4 linked regions of the Xenopus tropicalis genome follow. The protein of the gene in region 4 interacts with the protein of the main gene of each other region in a pairwise test. Links are inferred from orthologs where the notes say so. Each region holds a gene or a part of one and is shown on either strand. Other genes may lie near its edges. The genes, in order: plxnb1, plxnb3, plxnb2 and arhgef11.

Region 1 (3,807 bases), on a different chromosome or scaffold from region 4:
TACATATGTTGATTAGGGAATAGCAAATAGAAAATGAGGAATAGGTAAAGAATCCTGAGCACCAATCACAAACTTCTGTAACAGGTTTTGGACAGAATCCCTGGCCCCTGTGGTCCCTATCATTACATATAAACAGAATGCACCTTATCTTTTAGAGAGGTTAAGGAAGGGGATTTTTTTTAGCCCTCAAACTGCCAGTTCAGATACTGAGGGGGAACATGCATGTACTAACATAAATATAAATCCCTTACCCACTGGTTAGGGGGGATACAGTCCCAGTAATGCAGTAGGTTCTAGGTGTTCTAGGTGCTACAAGCAGAAGACCTCCCTGTGCAAAGTCTCACCTTGTAATGTTGCAATGTGTTCACTCTTTTCCACGACCCATGCACCACTGACGTCAGATCTTCATCGGAAAGTATCAGATGACCGGCCAACCCTGATCTCCATTCTGCCAGGGGGAACGGGAGGAAAGGGTGTAAGGATGGTTATAAGCTGGTAACTGTTGGGACAGCTAGGAAAACAAATCCCCCTCCCGATATCAGGGCTGTGGAGTTGGTACATAAATCCTTTGACTCTGACTTCAAATCCAGGTACCTAAAATTGCTTCCGACTCCGACTTGGCAACTCTGACTCCATAGCTCTGCCAGATATACCATTTCTCTCTGCTTTCAAGTTGATGGCTGTAAGAGGGCGGCTATCAAAGGCTGAAGGCATTATTTTATATAAATAACGGTGCCACTCATAGTCTGTCTTGCCCTGGGTTCCAGCACTACTAAAGATTTCCCCTCCCTATGGACAACCTGACTTACCCAAGTCTAGCGCTTCGGGGTTTGGTCGATTACAGTACGGGGTTCCCTTGTATATCTGGTCAAGGATCTTTTCTTTCACTTGAGTGATGGTGTCGCAGTCGAGCAATTTCACCGGCAACCCTTGTGCTTCCTCTTCACAAGTGATGCCCGTGTTGGTTTGCATGATTGCATTCAGCGTCTGGGAAGGAATAATGTTTAAGTGCACCCAAAATGTCATCTACGTACCACTGGAAAAATTCACTATTTTACTCTGAACTAGCAACTTATAGGAGCCAACCAGCTAGAAGCTCAGACCAATCATCTGACGTAACATACATGAAAACAAAAATATGCAAAGGAATAGAAATAATGACCCCCTTCCCCCGCTGTTTATTAATTCCCCACAAGTGTAAGTGACATAAGGAATTAACTTTATGCGGATACTCAGGGAATTTAGTGACCTTGCTGAGAAGACCATGTTGGATTAGACACTTATCTATGGCCACCATCAGAATAGATTTGTGACTTAAGGCCCAATAAAACGATTGGGACAAAGGGGACAAGATACTGCTTACCATGGCCCCTACTTTGAGCACAGAGCACCCTTAATGTCCACAATAGGAAGCCACCCCAACAACTCACCAGAGTTTTGTATTCTACATCATCCCTCAGGAGGCGGTTGTCATTCAGAGTGTACTTAGCCTTCCCCGTCACACAGTCCACTGGTCCTTTATCCACCTGGTGCTTTATCCCACGGAACAACATATAAAGTGGTTCTCCAGCTGAATCCTGCCATAAGAATACAACAGTGACTAAGGTGACCTTGCCAATACACAGCTTATCAACTTGTAGATAGTGTTTGTAAACATTAAAAGTGCAATATTGTCCGGACCCCTGTGGGAAGGTGGAATCTCAGAGTTAAGGTCCCCATACACTGGCAGATCCGCTCGCTTGGCATACGGGTGGGTGATATCGGTAGAATCCAGTGTAATTCGATCGTTTGGCCCTGGGTCCAAACGATCGAATTATAATGATGGGCATAGGTAAAGTCGGTCCGGCACCGTATCAGGCCAGATATCGGTCGGGCAGGCCCGTCGGAAGTGCCCATACACGGGACCGATATCGGCAGCTACTATCGGCCCGTGTATGGGGACCTTTACAAAGTAGAACTGGTACTCAATCTACCAAAAGATAAAGTATGTATCCAATACCTAGCACTCGCTACTTACCCTCACAAACGTATATAGACAGATGGACATCCAGTTGGTCAGCAGCTTCTCCACCACTGTCTCTGTCCTAGAACAAAGAGGTCCATAGATAAGAACATCAGAAACCCAACCAGTCTGTCTTCTCTAAGTATTGCATAACCTAAATGGGTAACCTTTCTTTATCTAGACTAATACATCATTTTTACTCGGCAGAGGAACTACCAAAGCCTTGTGTCTTCTGGATCGCTATAGTGGGAAACAGCATCATAAGACAAAAGTACAAAGTATTCCAGTCTCTACCTTCTAAGCATCAGCTTTGGGTTCTTGGCCACATACTGTTCCACCAGATCATTCAGGAGGGTCTTTAAGATGTCAGTGAAGTATTCCAGCTTCCCATGCAGAGATACAGTTAGGAGAGATGCCACGTAGGCACGGTCTCTTGCTGAAAATGTGCGTTGGCTTTCCAGGGTGTGAATAAACTAAAATATAAATTGAAGATTAAATTGGAATAAATTAGCAGAGCGTAATGAAACTAAATGATACCCAGGAGAGAGTAACGCTTGCATACCTTGGTAAGAAAGAGCTTGCTGTTCAGAAGGTTGGAGAGCTGGACCAAGCCCTGTTCTACTGTCTGGCGCCGGCCTTCTGGGACATCCAAGTCTCTCTGCAATGGCGACTCGCGGTGACCAGGGAAGAAAATCCTCTCTGCGTATGATTTGTAATCCAGGAATGGGATCCCGGTGCCCACCAAGTCACTTGTAAGGTCCATCATCTCTGTCATCAAGTCTACAAGAGAGAAGCAGTCACAGCATTGTCACTTACACTTATTATCTAAGTAAGCTTGGCTATAGCAACAAGGAGGGAAAACAAAAACCCACTTCCCAAACCATCAATGTGTATATTTGGATTCCTATGTGATGGCTGCCATCATTCATACATGACAATCTGCTTAGGACTCAGAAGAGAAGTGCAGCCGATTCCTGCCCACTAGGCCACGATAAAGATATGGATCAGCTAAGAGACCCAACATGGTCAGTCTTTCACTATGTGTAGCTGCACATTTACAGAGAAGGAATGGCCTCTATACATCAGGGGTCCCAAACCTTCCTTACTCGTGAGCCACAGTCAAATATAAAAAGACTTGGGGAGCAACACAAGCACCATAAAAGTTCATGGAGGAGCCAAATAAGGGCTGTGATTGGCTATTAGGGGCCTCTATGCACCCTATCAGCTTACAGGGGCTTTATTTGGTAGGAAATCTTGTTTTTATTCAACCAAAACTTGCTCAGAAATAACTCCCTGGTTTGGGGGCACTGAGAGCAACATCCAAGGGGTTGGGGAGCAACATGTTGCCCCTGAGCCACTATTTGGGGATCACTGCTATACATGGATGCTACTAAAGCATGAGATCGAGATCCACTATAGGCACATAGGAAACTAAGAAGATGTCTAGCTGTATATCAACTTTCAAAATTGAAACACTAAGCTCCAGTATATTTTAGATTCTGTCAATTTGTTGGAAATATTTTTACAATATATACAGCTCCATGCTAGAGATATTCATTTCACCCTAATAACTATGAGCAGTGCCGGCCTATCATGTTAGTCTGTACCTGTGAATTCCTTCTTGCAGCGATCTCTGACACTAGTTTCCAGGTTCTCCAATTGGATTTGGACTTTCTTGTAATCCCGCAGGGCCTGCTTGCTCTTCCGCCTGGAAAAGAAAACCCTGAATATTTAGATAATTTGTTCCGTTACCATGACAGTGCTAAAGACTTACTATGGCCCTAATAAGGCCATTCTAAATCAAC
Region 2 (3,807 bases), about 110 Mb from region 4:
GCGACTGCAGTCAGACTGTCCAACTGAGCAGTTGTACAAAACCACTAAAAACAGAAAAAAAGAAGGTATACAGAACCACCATAAGAAAGAAGAGTTATATAGGCCCATTATGGGAAGAGTCATATAGAACCAATATGGGAAAGTAAGAGTCATACAGAGTCACTATGGGAAAGGAAGAGTCATACAGAGCCACTATGGGAAAGGAAGAGTCATACAATGCCACTATGGGAAATGAAGAGTCATACAGAGCCACTATGGAAAGGGAAGAGTCATACAGAGCCACTATGGGAAAGGAAGAGTCATACAGAGCCACTATGGGAAAGGAAGAGTCATACAGAGCCACTATGGGAAAGGAAGAGTCATACAGAGCTACTATGGGAAAGGAAGAGTCATACAGAGCCACTATGGGAAAGGGAAGAGTCATACAGAGCCACTATGGGAAAGGAAGAGTCATACAGAGCCACTATGGGAAAGGAAGAGTCATACAGAGCCACTATGGGAAAGGAAGAGTCATACAGAGCCACTATGGGAAAGGAAGAGTCATACAGAGCCCCTATGGGAAAGGAAGAGTCATACAGAGCCCCTATGGGAAAGGAAGAGTCATACAGAGCCACTATGGGAAAGGAAAAGTCATACAATGCCACTATGGGGAAATGAAGAGTCATACAGAGCTACTATGGGAAAGGAAGAGTCATACAGAGCCACTATGGGAAAGGAAGAGTCATACAGAGCCACTATGGGAAAGGGAAGAGTCATACAGAGCCACTATGGGAAAGGAAGAGTCATACAGAGCCACTATGGGAAAGGAAAAGTCATACAGAGCCACTATGGGAAAGGGAAGAGTCATACAGAGCCACTATGGGAAAGGAAGAGTCATACAATGCCACCAAGGGGAAGAAAGAGTTATACAGAGCCACTGTGGGAAAGGAGGAGTCAAATAAAGTGACTTGGTACTATGACAAATGTATGCAGAGCAACAGAAACAGAGACAGAGAGCCCCTTTGAGAATAAAGCAAGTGGACATACCCTGAATGTCTTCTTTATCATCCACTCGATGGCCATCGCCCGTCATAACATAAATGGTAACCTGATGCTCCAGCGTACGTAATGAATACTCAAACTATAAATATGATATAAAATATTTTGAATATATTATTATCCAGATTATCCACTATAACATAAAATGGTCACTTGCTCAATAATGGTTATTCAAAAGGTATGGATTAGGTCGAGCCAGGCACTCACACTTTGCCAAATCCCAAACTGAATCAAGGATTTGGCATATTCCGATTCACAATGTTACAGCCTTGTCCATCTATACAGTACTATGCTATTCCCTACCCACCTTGTGTGTCTGGCAGTGCACTTGAAAAACATCTTTTTCTCCAGTCACATTCTCAATTTGTGCAGGCAGCGTTGTTGTGGTGCCATGGGCATCAATCACACAGCTATAACCTAGAACCTCCTCCTGCAGGAAAGACAGAACAATTGACTGACCGACATGGCAAAATTTGGAGACACAAGTCTCAGGCATAGCTCCTTCACAGCCAAGTATTACTTGCTAGGGATGAGTCTTCAAAAGCATGCAAAAAGCAGACCCTGTGACTGCTGTGGAACCCAGAAAATTAGAGGGCCTATTGGAGCTACAATGTGGCAATTTAAAGTTAATAAACAGGCCATTCAAATCACACCACATAATTATTTGTTAAAGGAACAGGAAAGTAAATTCCATGTCCTATTTCCTCTGAAAAGCCGATCAAACATTCTAACATTTCAATTTTAATTTAGTTACTGGGGGACTGTGGTTGTTGGGGGTAATGGATGATATTCAGTTTATCTAAGACAGGGGTCCCAAAACTTTCTTACCCATGAGCCACAATCAAATGTAAAAAGAATTGGGAAGCAACATGAAAGCATGACAAAATATACCTGGGGTGCCAAATAAGGGCTGTGAATGGCTATTTGGCAGCCCCTATGTGGACAGGAGGCTCTGTTTTGCAGTACACCTGGTCCTTATGCAACTAAAACTTGCCTCCAAGCCAGAAATACAAAAATAAGCACCTTCTTTGAGGCCACTGGGAGCAACATTCAAAGCCTTGGTGAGAAATATGTTGCTTGGGAGCCACTGGTTGAAGACCACTGATCTGAAGAGCAATTAGCCTGTACATAACACCCTTTTGTCCATGGCTTTGGTTTATGTAAAAGTAAAGCCATTGCTGTTAACCCACCTTAAGTAGTTGTAAATTACGTCCAATAAGATCCAGTTCTCTCTCAACCCCAACAGGGATCAATGTCGACCCATCAACACTCTCTATTCTTGGGCAAGCATCAGGACCACCCAGCTGGAATCAAAGAGATGGGTAAGTGTACATATTATAAAGTTACCACATCTATAATGTGTTTATGTGCGCGCCAGCTACTTCTTACTCTTTGGTTGAATATGATCACTTGGTCTTGGCTGCAGTTTTGTGTATCATGAATGCAGCGATAATCATTCACGCACCAGTGGCATTCCCACTGGCTATTTACACATCCGGCACACCTACAGGCACAAATCATTTCATTAAACATTTACTTTAAATATCTATTTAGTTGAAAATCACAAAATCTGCAAATGCATCGTAAGTTTGGAACAGTCGATTGCACATGTTATAGAATGACCTAATTAGAAATTGGTTATAATCGAGTGCATGGGTGAGGACCTTCCTGTAATTCTGAGCTTTCTAGATAATGGATTTCCAGGTAAGGGATCCTGTACCCGCATCAATGACTAGTGCTTTCAATGAGCATGAGATGTGCCAGGAATAAAACATTCCCTATTTATTTCTCTAGTTTCCATTTTTGTGGTTATTATCTGGTTTAGTTGGCTCTGTTTTGCGCTGCTAGTTAATAATGAAATGATCAGAGTAGTGAGAAGCAGTGTTTCACAGGAGTCCGAATGCAACCGAATGTGAGGATCAGCTTCCTCATCTAATAACAAGGTGTATATATATTCAAAATATTGCTACCTTGGCATAAATTTCCCCTAAAACACACGTTGGGTTTATTTGCATCAGGCCCAGATTGAGATTCAAAACAGGCTCGGGCATTTCCAGTGCACAAGGTCCAAACTGACCCCACCAGCCGAAAAATTAGTGACTGCCTATGGCGTCTTACAGCAGCCCCGAATCCATGGATTGCCAGTCCGGGCCTGATCTGCAAATAGTTTGCCCCACAGCTTCACTTATAGTGACTCTGTGCAAACCCAGACCATGGTCCCATCCATTGAGAACATGTGAATGGAACACTGTGTGTGACTTAGTTGCAAAATCCATTTACTGAAACAAGCTCTTGTATATGCTGGTATTCCCTGGGGGCGTCAGTTACTCTTGCACACCTCACTTCCCTTCTCTGAATAGAAAATTACAGGACTGACGTAGCTCAGTGGCTCAGTGGCTTCACACAGGTTTTTGAAAACAGCCAATCAGATCATACTGACATATATGTATGGAGACTAGGGATGCACCAAATCCAGGATTCAGCCTTTTTTGGCAAGATTTGGCCAAATCCATGCTCCTGGCAAACTGAATCCTTAAAATGATGTGGCTTGACATGTAAATACAGAAGTTAAAAATTTTTTTGTGCAAATTAGGATTCGGTTCAGTTCAGTATCCGGCCAAATTTCTCACGAAGGATCCAGGGTTCAGACGAAAAAGTGGATTTGACGCACCGCTAATGGAATATAAATAGTATAACTAGTAGACATGTAAGTGCATTGATGTCTATAAAGAACATCTACAGGGTCAAGCAATAAAGTGGCTCCAACTC
Region 3 (4,417 bases), on a different chromosome or scaffold from region 4:
ACTCTAAAGGTTTCTTGAAATAACATTTCTCTTTAATTATGAAAAAATATTGTATGAAGTTCCCCTTAAATAGTCACAACAGTTTGTGTTCAGTGAACATTTTGTCTTAAATAATTGAGTCATCTATGCATGGGGCCAACGTTAATTTACAGGCTTGATAAAGAACCTTAGCTTTAAACCAGGAGTCCCCAACCTTTCTTACTCATGAGCCACAGTCAAATGCAAAAAGACTTAAGGTGGCCATACACGCACCGATAATATCGTACGAAACCGCAGGAAGCTGCTGATATCGTCGACTCGCCGATCGGACCAGTTTGAAAATTTTGATCGGGCGCCATAGAAGGCGCCTGACCAAAATTCTCCCTTCAGCGCTGAATCGGCAGAAGGAGGTAGAAATCCTATTGTTTCTACCTCCTTACCTGCCGATTCAGCCCTGAATGGTGTGTGGCGGATCTGACGATGTTTCGTGCGACCGTTGGTCGCACGAAACATCGTCAGATCGCCACGTGTATGGCCAGCTTTAGACAGCAACACAAGCATCAGTTCATGGAGGGCCAGATAAGGGCTAAGACAGGCTATTAGGTAGCCTCTAGCACACACTCAGCTTACAGGAGGATTTATTTGGTAGTAAATCTTGTTTTTATTCAACCAAAACTTGCCACCAAGTCAGGAATTCAAAAATAACTACCTGGTTTAGGGGCACTGAGAGCAACATGCTGCTCTTGAGTCACTGGTTGGGGATCACTGCTTTAAACAGTGCTTCTGTGTGATGCCTTAAATCTTCAATAAACATAAAATGACATAAAAGCCTGATGGTACTTTGTGTACAGTGTGTTCATATATAGGAAATGTCCACTTTGTAATTCAGTTTTTGGTATTTGCATTAATAGTTTAGTACAAAATGTAACTGCACTGTAGAACTGATTTATTGTGTTCTGTGTTTGCGCCTGCATTCATGATTTGGATACTGGACTTCTGAAAATAGAGCTTTCAGCCCACACTCATGTAATGATCAACTACTGTTCTTCCTCACCACCCAAAGTGAAACTAAAAGAAAGCACTATCTATAGAGTATTTACTTTACCATGCTAATGCTGCCATAAGGCCTATTCATGTCACCCTGTGACAGCTCAGACCGTCTGCAAGAATGTCTTCAAACAACACAACAGAACCCTTATTTTTAAAAGTGCCTAGTTACATTTCATATGTCTACATAGAATATCATGCAATAATAATCCTCAAAACCATGTATACGAGACACAATTGCATAATTACTGCTGGTGAGCAGGTAACTGCAAGGACAACTAAATGGCCTAAGATAGTAAGGTTATAGATTATGGTGAACCCAAACAAATTTGCCATTTGGACATCCAGTGCTAGGCCAAACAATATTTGTTAAGTGTAAAACAGTGAAGATGCATACACAGCACATTCAAAAAGCAAGAAAAGGGCCACAAAGGCCTGCAACTTCCCTTGCTGCTACATTTAGGAACACCCTATACACTCAACACAAACAAATATTTACTGTTTAATTCCATTAACTGTATTTACTTGAAACCAATAAACCACCAGAAACATAAAAAATGGGAACCTGCAACACAAAGAATGGACAACATGAGCCCAAGCTTTTACACATCTCACAAAATGTTACATTATAAAACCTAACAGCAATCCTGTTAGCCGTTAGCCTGCATGAAACATCTGCAAACAAGAGAACAGCAGTGAATCAAGGAATCAGTAGTCCCCAACCTTTCCAGGACATCAAACTTAATCTTACTTGTTAGCTACTGTCAGAATGCTCAATGCAATGACAGCAATTTGAGCTGTAGCTTCTGCCAGACAGGGGCAAGCTCCAACTTGTAGGGTTAAACTGGAACATGGAGTTCATTCTAAGAATTAACAATACAAAGCCATCATGTCAATAGCAATAACATGCAGAGAATTAGCAGATGTGTTTTAAATGAAGTGATCCCAATAAATAACACATAATGAAGTCTATAAACACTAGCTGCATGATCATTTGTATCTATCTCTCTGCAAATAAACAGCTGTTCTATCACATTTTAGTCTGCTGTTCCTTCCATACAATCCCAGCTTCTACAAGCCACTGATGTTTCTCTACTGTACAAACAATAGCAGCCATGCAATATCCAGTATGAACAAGCCTGAACTAAAATGATCCTAAGCTGAAGAGCAAACAACTGTACATTGACTTTGCTATTATTTGAAACAAAGCAGAAGTGTCAGCACATTCCTGAAATAGATTTTATGAATCAGGTAACTCCCAAGGCAGGTGGTGTGGTGCGTGGATGTAACCGTGGGAAAGGAGCTCCCAGTCTGTGGCACCCCATGCTACTCCCGCTCCCACAGAACCCTGCGGGTGGGACAGCGCCTCTTACCTCCTTCCCAAGTTCACAGGTTTCCATTAAAGCTGGAAGGGGTCACTTTGATAAGACTGATCGCTAATCCCCAGTCCAAAGGAGCCCGGCCACTCCCCCCGCCCAGACACCCAGCGCTAAAACTTAGCACAGATGAGCTGGAAGGAAGGTGACTGAGTGGAGAATGTCCAGCACAGCGCTGCCCCACTCTCCGGCCAACAGGTGCTATGACAAGATAGCCTAAAAATAAGAGCGGAATTTGGGAGGAACTCACCCAACAAGTCTCCTGCTAGGCTCCGCTTCCCGCGGCTTTCCCGGACTTAATGGAGACGCTGAGAGAAATGTAGTGCGGCTCCGCGCCCCGACCCCCCGGCCCTCACTGTGTCCATATCAGCCTCGCACAGTCCTTCCCAGCCGACTCCCTAGCACTGAGCGCCGAGAGGAGACACACCTGTGGGCGCTGCGCACATCCGCTCCCCAGCACAATACCAGAAACAGGAAGCAGGAAAAAAAAGGCAGAATAACAGGGAGAGAGTCCTCCCCTCTGAGCCGGCTGCGGAGGATCGGATTTCAGACTGCCTGGGAGCTCTCAAGGAATGGGAGGGGGTGCCAGAGGCACTGGATTGGGAGGAGTGCGAAGGAATTTCACTGGCCACTAGGCAATAGCCATGGGCTATGACTGGCTTTGATGGAATTCCAACAGGCATTCTTTTTCAATAGCTACAATAGCCTGTTCTAAATATATCCAACCTATGGCCCTGAACTGGCATTGCGCTCCGACTTATTCGCCTCATTTTCACTGCTTTTGCCAATGGCAAATAGTCTATCATTAATGAGTTTGTGTTAGAAAATACTCCCTTTCAAAGGAACCCCATCATACATTTATATAAGGATAAAGCTGCACGTCAAAATAATTGTAAATGTCTTTTTAGGGGCTGTGACACACCGAGAGATTAGTCACCATCCCACCAGCTAGAATGTAAATTGCTGGTGGGATGGCATACGCGGCGCCTCAATTTGCCGAAGTTGCCTTGAGAGGAAACTTCAGCGACCCGGCAAATCGCGGCGCCGGGTATGCCATCCCACCAGCGATTTACATTCTAGCCGATGGGATGGCATTTCGGGGAGATCTCTCTGCCCCCATTCATCTCCAAACTGCTTGAGTGCCTAGTTTACAACCGACTGATGCTATTCCTCTATAACAAAACCTCCTGGATCCCCTACAATCTGGTTTTAGACAACAACACTCCACCGAAACTGCGCTAACCCGACTAACAAATGACCTCCTATCGGCTAAAGCCAAAAAACACTACTCGTTACTAATACTTCTCGATCTCTCTGCTGCTTTTGACACTGTAGATCACCCTCTTCTCCTCCAGACTCTCTGCTCTCTTGGCCTTCGTGACACTGCCTTATCCTGGTTTTCATCTTATCTCTCAGATCGATCCTTCAGTGTCTCTTACAATGGGGAATCATCTTCTCCCCTGCCTCTTTCTGTCGGAGTTTCCCAAGGCTCTGTCCTGGGCCCCTTACTATTTTCTCTCTATACCTCCTCACTTGGCAAACTAATCAATTCTTTTGGCTTTCACTACCACCTCTATGCTGATGATACTCAGATATATCTTTCCTCTCCTGATCTCAACCCAGAGCTTCTAACTCGCGTCTCTTCCTGCCTGGCCGCTATATCCACTTGGATGTCCCAACGTTACCTTAAACTAAACCTCTCTAAGACTGAACTGGTTCTCTTTCCCCCATCCAATGCCCACATTGTTCCCGAGGTATCTATAAAGGTTAACAATTCTACCATCACCCCATCTTCCCAGGCCCGGTGCCTTGGGGTTATCCTTGATTCTGCCCTGTCCTTCACTCCTCATATCCAATCACTTATCAAATCATGTCACTTTCACCTAAGAAATATCTCCAAAATACGATCATTTATCACCCAAGATGCTGCCAAAATTCTTATTCACACTCTTATAATATCTCGCCTGGACTACTGTAACTCCCTATTAATTGGCCTTCCCCTCCAAAGACTGTCC
Region 4 (3,807 bases):
GACCACATACAGACTTACCAGCGGGTTTGGATCGGCCTGGGAGAAGATATAACGCAGAAACACCCCCATATGGGCCGGCCGGGTCTTTAACCTTTCCAGGTCTTGGAAGAGACCATCTAACTGCTGGGAAAAAGTACAAGAGGAGGGCTTCTGTTTAATGGCGGATAAATAGTACACAGCCCCCTAATTGTAAACTGGGTATTAAAGCTCTGCAGTGTCATTAACATTTTAATATAAACAATCATGAAAAAGCTTAAGTGCCCTTTTATAAACCAGGAGGAGAGGGCAGACAGGCTTGTTATCTGGTTATACCTCTGTCATGTAATATCCATGGTCGTAGTCCTCTTCTGGGCAGATTATTGTAGACTTCATGGGATCTGATACCTGGAAAAAATAAGATGATAAAATATTCAGACCCGATTTCCTCTGATAATTTATATTTAATCCTGGCTAAAGGAAAGTAATGTAAATATTTCCTGTGTTCAGGACAGGGTTCCTAGTGCCCTGATGTCCGATCCACTCTTGTAAGGTCATTATAACGAGCTGAATAAATACATTTGTTCTCACCAATATAATTATCAAAATGGAGGGGGTCTTAACCAGATTTCTCCCCCAGAATCCTTTGGTAACATAAACTATACCTCCCAGAAAACACATTACACTATATCAGATGTATCCCAACTTACCTGCTCAGATGTGGCAATAAAGGCAGTGTCTGAGCCCTGCCGCCGATGATGGTGGTGGTGATAGTGGTGGTGAAACAGTTTAGTAGGGATGATTGGAGAGGTGTGGGAGCTGTCCATTCCGAGGTCCGACAGGACAGAATTCCGATTCATGGAATACTGTTAAAAGAATAAGGAACAGAACATTACGTACCCACAGGCAAGACATTTTGCTAACAGATTCCATGGAACAGATCTGTGTGGACCCAGCTCTGTACAAGCCCAGTAATGCACTATGCTGACAAGCAATTATGGCTGCTACCTTTAATGTATTTATGGCATATAATAAGCTAAACACTCCCACTTCAAGATAAAAATGAATGTAAGGTTAATGTAAATATGCATCCTTGTTATATACAAGTAGTTCCTTATCATTTCCTGACATACGGAAAGGTTAAGTTACCCTTTACACACAGAGGAGAGAAATAAGCACACTCCATTCCTCCATAAAAAGGGAGCTAATGGATGGCGGCTGCCAGTATCACCTCACTCAACGATGATATCCGTTCAGTTCCGGAATCCAGACCGCTGTCTCCATCCTGGGAATCAACAGACAAGCGACCTTAAAAAAAAAAAAAAAAAAGCTTAGGTTAAGAAAAGATATACGTCTAATGAAGCTCAACTTTCTGTCCAACTAAACCTGACCTAACATCTAGGTGATTTATAGAAAGAGGTAAAAAATGCTAGCGGAAAAAAATCCTTCCCCACTCCAAAAGGCCAATTGGACCAGCCCCATGACTGTCTTTATACTGAGAGGGCTCATTTCAGTAATCCAACCCTTTCTTGAAGCTATCCAATATAACTGCTATCCCCTGTTTCAGCATAAACCAAATTAAACGTCATCTTTGGGAATAAGCCGGCCTCATTGTACAGCCATCTACCCAAACAAACTCACCTTCTTTGACTTTGTACCCCAAAGAGCTGCAGTCACTGTATGAGCGCAACAAATCCTGCAACACAGATCAACGCACCTGTTAATTTTCTATCCATAGGCGAAAAGCATATTTAGTCAATATGGAGGAACTACCAGTAGATGGCACTGCTCTCACAGACAATTGGGCAAGAGGGTCATTTGTTGAGCTGGATAAAAAGGGGGTAATGTCTTCAGAATTCTAACCCCCATATGTAATAAAAGGTGCTAAGTTTGCCCAGAAGCATTAACCTATAGCAACCAAGAAAATGTTTGCTTTTAAACAGGTGACCAGTATATGCTTCCAGCTGACTGGTTGCTATGGGTTACTGCTCCTGGGCAAACTTAGTGCCTTTTATTACATAACCAATATTACATGATATTCCACATTGTTATGGGGTATGAGTGTAATGTGGGAAACAAAGTTTTACTTCTTTAGAAGTTATTGGCACTTTTTATGCCACCATGGGGAAAGCTATTTTCTGGTACTCACCTGCCTCACTATTTACATTCTGGCAGTCACAAGCCTGTCTTATGGCAGGGATTTAGGCTTAAACCACAAGCGGCTGATTCTCGCCTGCATTTATCAGCAGATCCCCTGCCATCTCTCTCCTGTTTCTGACCCAGAGGCATTGTGTCAGCCTGGTTGAAGACACACGGAGCAGATTTTGGTGCTGAAATGCATAAGTATGCATTTTCCCATTGAAGTCCGCTCTGTGTGGCCGACACAATGTCCCTGGATGCAGGCAGAGGAAGAGCGTGGATGACAGTGGAGGGGCAATTTCTCAGTTGGTGCTCATATGCCGGACTGAGATACAGCCCAGTGTGGCATTAGTCTTAGATTTACTCTTGGGATCAATAACCTTTATCTGAAGGGCTCATAAACATGGAGTGCACTTGGGCTAGGAATGCCTAGGGACTCAGCAATGAGAGTGAAATAGATAAGGAGGCTTAGCTGAAGCACCGTACACATTAATAATAAGAAACAGATATAATGGTAAAGTCTCCATTCAGTCTGCTCTGTCAGTGAGACAAAGGGCTGGCCCAGGACGGGTAACTAGGTGTTGCATAAAAAGGCCAGATTACATTGTAGTTATGGGTCTGAGCCAATGGAGTTAAATTATCAATATTATTACCATGTCAAAATGGCCAACTACCAACCAACTCCGCTTTGGAAGCAAAGATTAGTTTCAGGTATTATTAATAAGCCAAAATGGCCAACTTGAACGGATAAAAAGAGTTTTAGGTATCACTACATCATCATCCTTTTTCGTTCCTGTAGCGTTTTACTTGGGGGTGCCTGGGGAGTAGTTCATGCAGTAAAAATGTTATGTACTTACCCCAGTACCAGGGATTTCTTGCCTTATCTTATGCTGAAGCTGATGCACCCTTTTCCTGGCCCTCTCTATCTGCTCCTGCAGGCTGGAGTTAGGGCTTTTGTTATACACATCACACAGATTCTGCCAAGAGATAGAATGATCTATTAATCTGAGCCTTCTACATGCCAACCACATAGCACCCAATGTTGCCAAGCAGCCCCACTGTCACTCTATTTAGAGTTACAATATCACGTGTTCTTTTCAATAGATTCCATTTACTGCCACTAGGTGGAGCGTGCAGGGAAAACTCACAGCGAGAAATAACTCAGTTAAAATCCTTGGAAAACAGCACTGCTGCAAAGCAATCTTTCCTGTTCCAAAGTCCAGTTTAGCACTATGCCTGTAATACAAGGTTCCCTTGCAAGACCCTACCTGTAGATCCGCTTCCTCCTGCTTTAACATGTTCCAAAGGATTTCCGTGGCGTGCTTTTGGAAATCGGGGTCCTAAAGAAGTGATCACAACGAAATTCCATCACACTGTGTCTTATATAGCTGACAGGGTAGAACTTAATGGGAGCAGGGACATGGCACATTACCTGTAGCGGTTTAGGTCCTGTGATGTGATGCATCTGGGGCAAAGGTGGAGGCGGAGGAGGTGGCATTGGCAACACTGATATGTTACGAGGTGACACAGAGGTGCTCAGGTCTTGCGGATACCCAGATATGCCCATGGATGGAGGCGGAGAACCCAGGAGAGTGAGAGCAACATAAGCGCCGGCTGTTGGATTGAAACATCAGCACAACAGGGGTTAAATATAAAGATATATATGAAACCACCTTTAACTAATATTCCCCC

What was found.
Region 1: the proteins of arhgef11 (region 4) and plxnb1 interact in a two-hybrid assay, tested with the Homo sapiens proteins (2 studies listed by BioGRID). The link is inferred for Xenopus tropicalis from reciprocal best matches to the Homo sapiens genes ARHGEF11 and PLXNB1.
Region 2: the proteins of arhgef11 (region 4) and plxnb3 interact in a two-hybrid assay, tested with the Homo sapiens proteins (2 studies listed by BioGRID and IntAct). The link is inferred for Xenopus tropicalis from reciprocal best matches to the Homo sapiens genes ARHGEF11 and PLXNB3.
Region 3: the proteins of arhgef11 (region 4) and plxnb2 interact in a two-hybrid assay, tested with the Homo sapiens proteins (2 studies listed by BioGRID). The link is inferred for Xenopus tropicalis from reciprocal best matches to the Homo sapiens genes ARHGEF11 and PLXNB2.

Annotation. Positions count from the first base shown.
Region 1 is NC_030680.2:139,214,155-139,217,961, forward strand, and holds part of plxnb1 (plexin-B1), read right to left. Parts: intron 3,711-3,807; coding exon 3,610-3,710; intron 2,783-3,609; coding exon 2,565-2,782; intron 2,476-2,564; coding exon 2,297-2,475; intron 2,085-2,296; coding exon 2,018-2,084; intron 1,578-2,017; coding exon 1,431-1,577; intron 988-1,430; coding exon 810-987; intron 449-809; coding exon 345-448; intron 1-344. UniProt on the Homo sapiens protein: Receptor for SEMA4D. Plays a role in GABAergic synapse development. Mediates SEMA4A- and SEMA4D-dependent inhibitory synapse development. Plays a role in RHOA activation and subsequent changes of the actin cytoskeleton.
Region 2 is NC_030684.2:23,786,857-23,790,663, reverse strand, and holds part of plxnb3 (plexin-B3), read right to left. Parts: intron 2,543-3,807; coding exon 2,428-2,542; intron 2,343-2,427; coding exon 2,229-2,342; intron 1,469-2,228; coding exon 1,346-1,468; intron 1,121-1,345; coding exon 1,027-1,120; intron 45-1,026; coding exon 1-44. UniProt on the Homo sapiens protein: Receptor for SEMA5A that plays a role in axon guidance, invasive growth and cell migration. Stimulates neurite outgrowth and mediates Ca(2+)/Mg(2+)-dependent cell aggregation.
Region 3 is NC_030679.2:71,409,256-71,413,672, reverse strand, and holds the start of plxnb2 (plexin-B2), read right to left. Parts: upstream 2,965-4,417; 5' UTR 2,653-2,964; intron 1-2,652.
Region 4 is NC_030684.2:131,857,942-131,861,748, forward strand, and holds part of arhgef11 (rho guanine nucleotide exchange factor 11), read right to left. Parts: intron 3,730-3,807; coding exon 3,548-3,729; intron 3,456-3,547; coding exon 3,384-3,455; intron 3,093-3,383; coding exon 2,973-3,092; intron 1,673-2,972; coding exon 1,618-1,672; intron 1,285-1,617; coding exon 1,208-1,284; intron 843-1,207; coding exon 687-842; intron 385-686; coding exon 313-384; intron 124-312; coding exon 19-123; intron 1-18. UniProt on the Homo sapiens protein: May play a role in the regulation of RhoA GTPase by guanine nucleotide-binding alpha-12 (GNA12) and alpha-13 (GNA13). Acts as guanine nucleotide exchange factor (GEF) for RhoA GTPase and may act as GTPase-activating protein (GAP) for GNA12 and GNA13.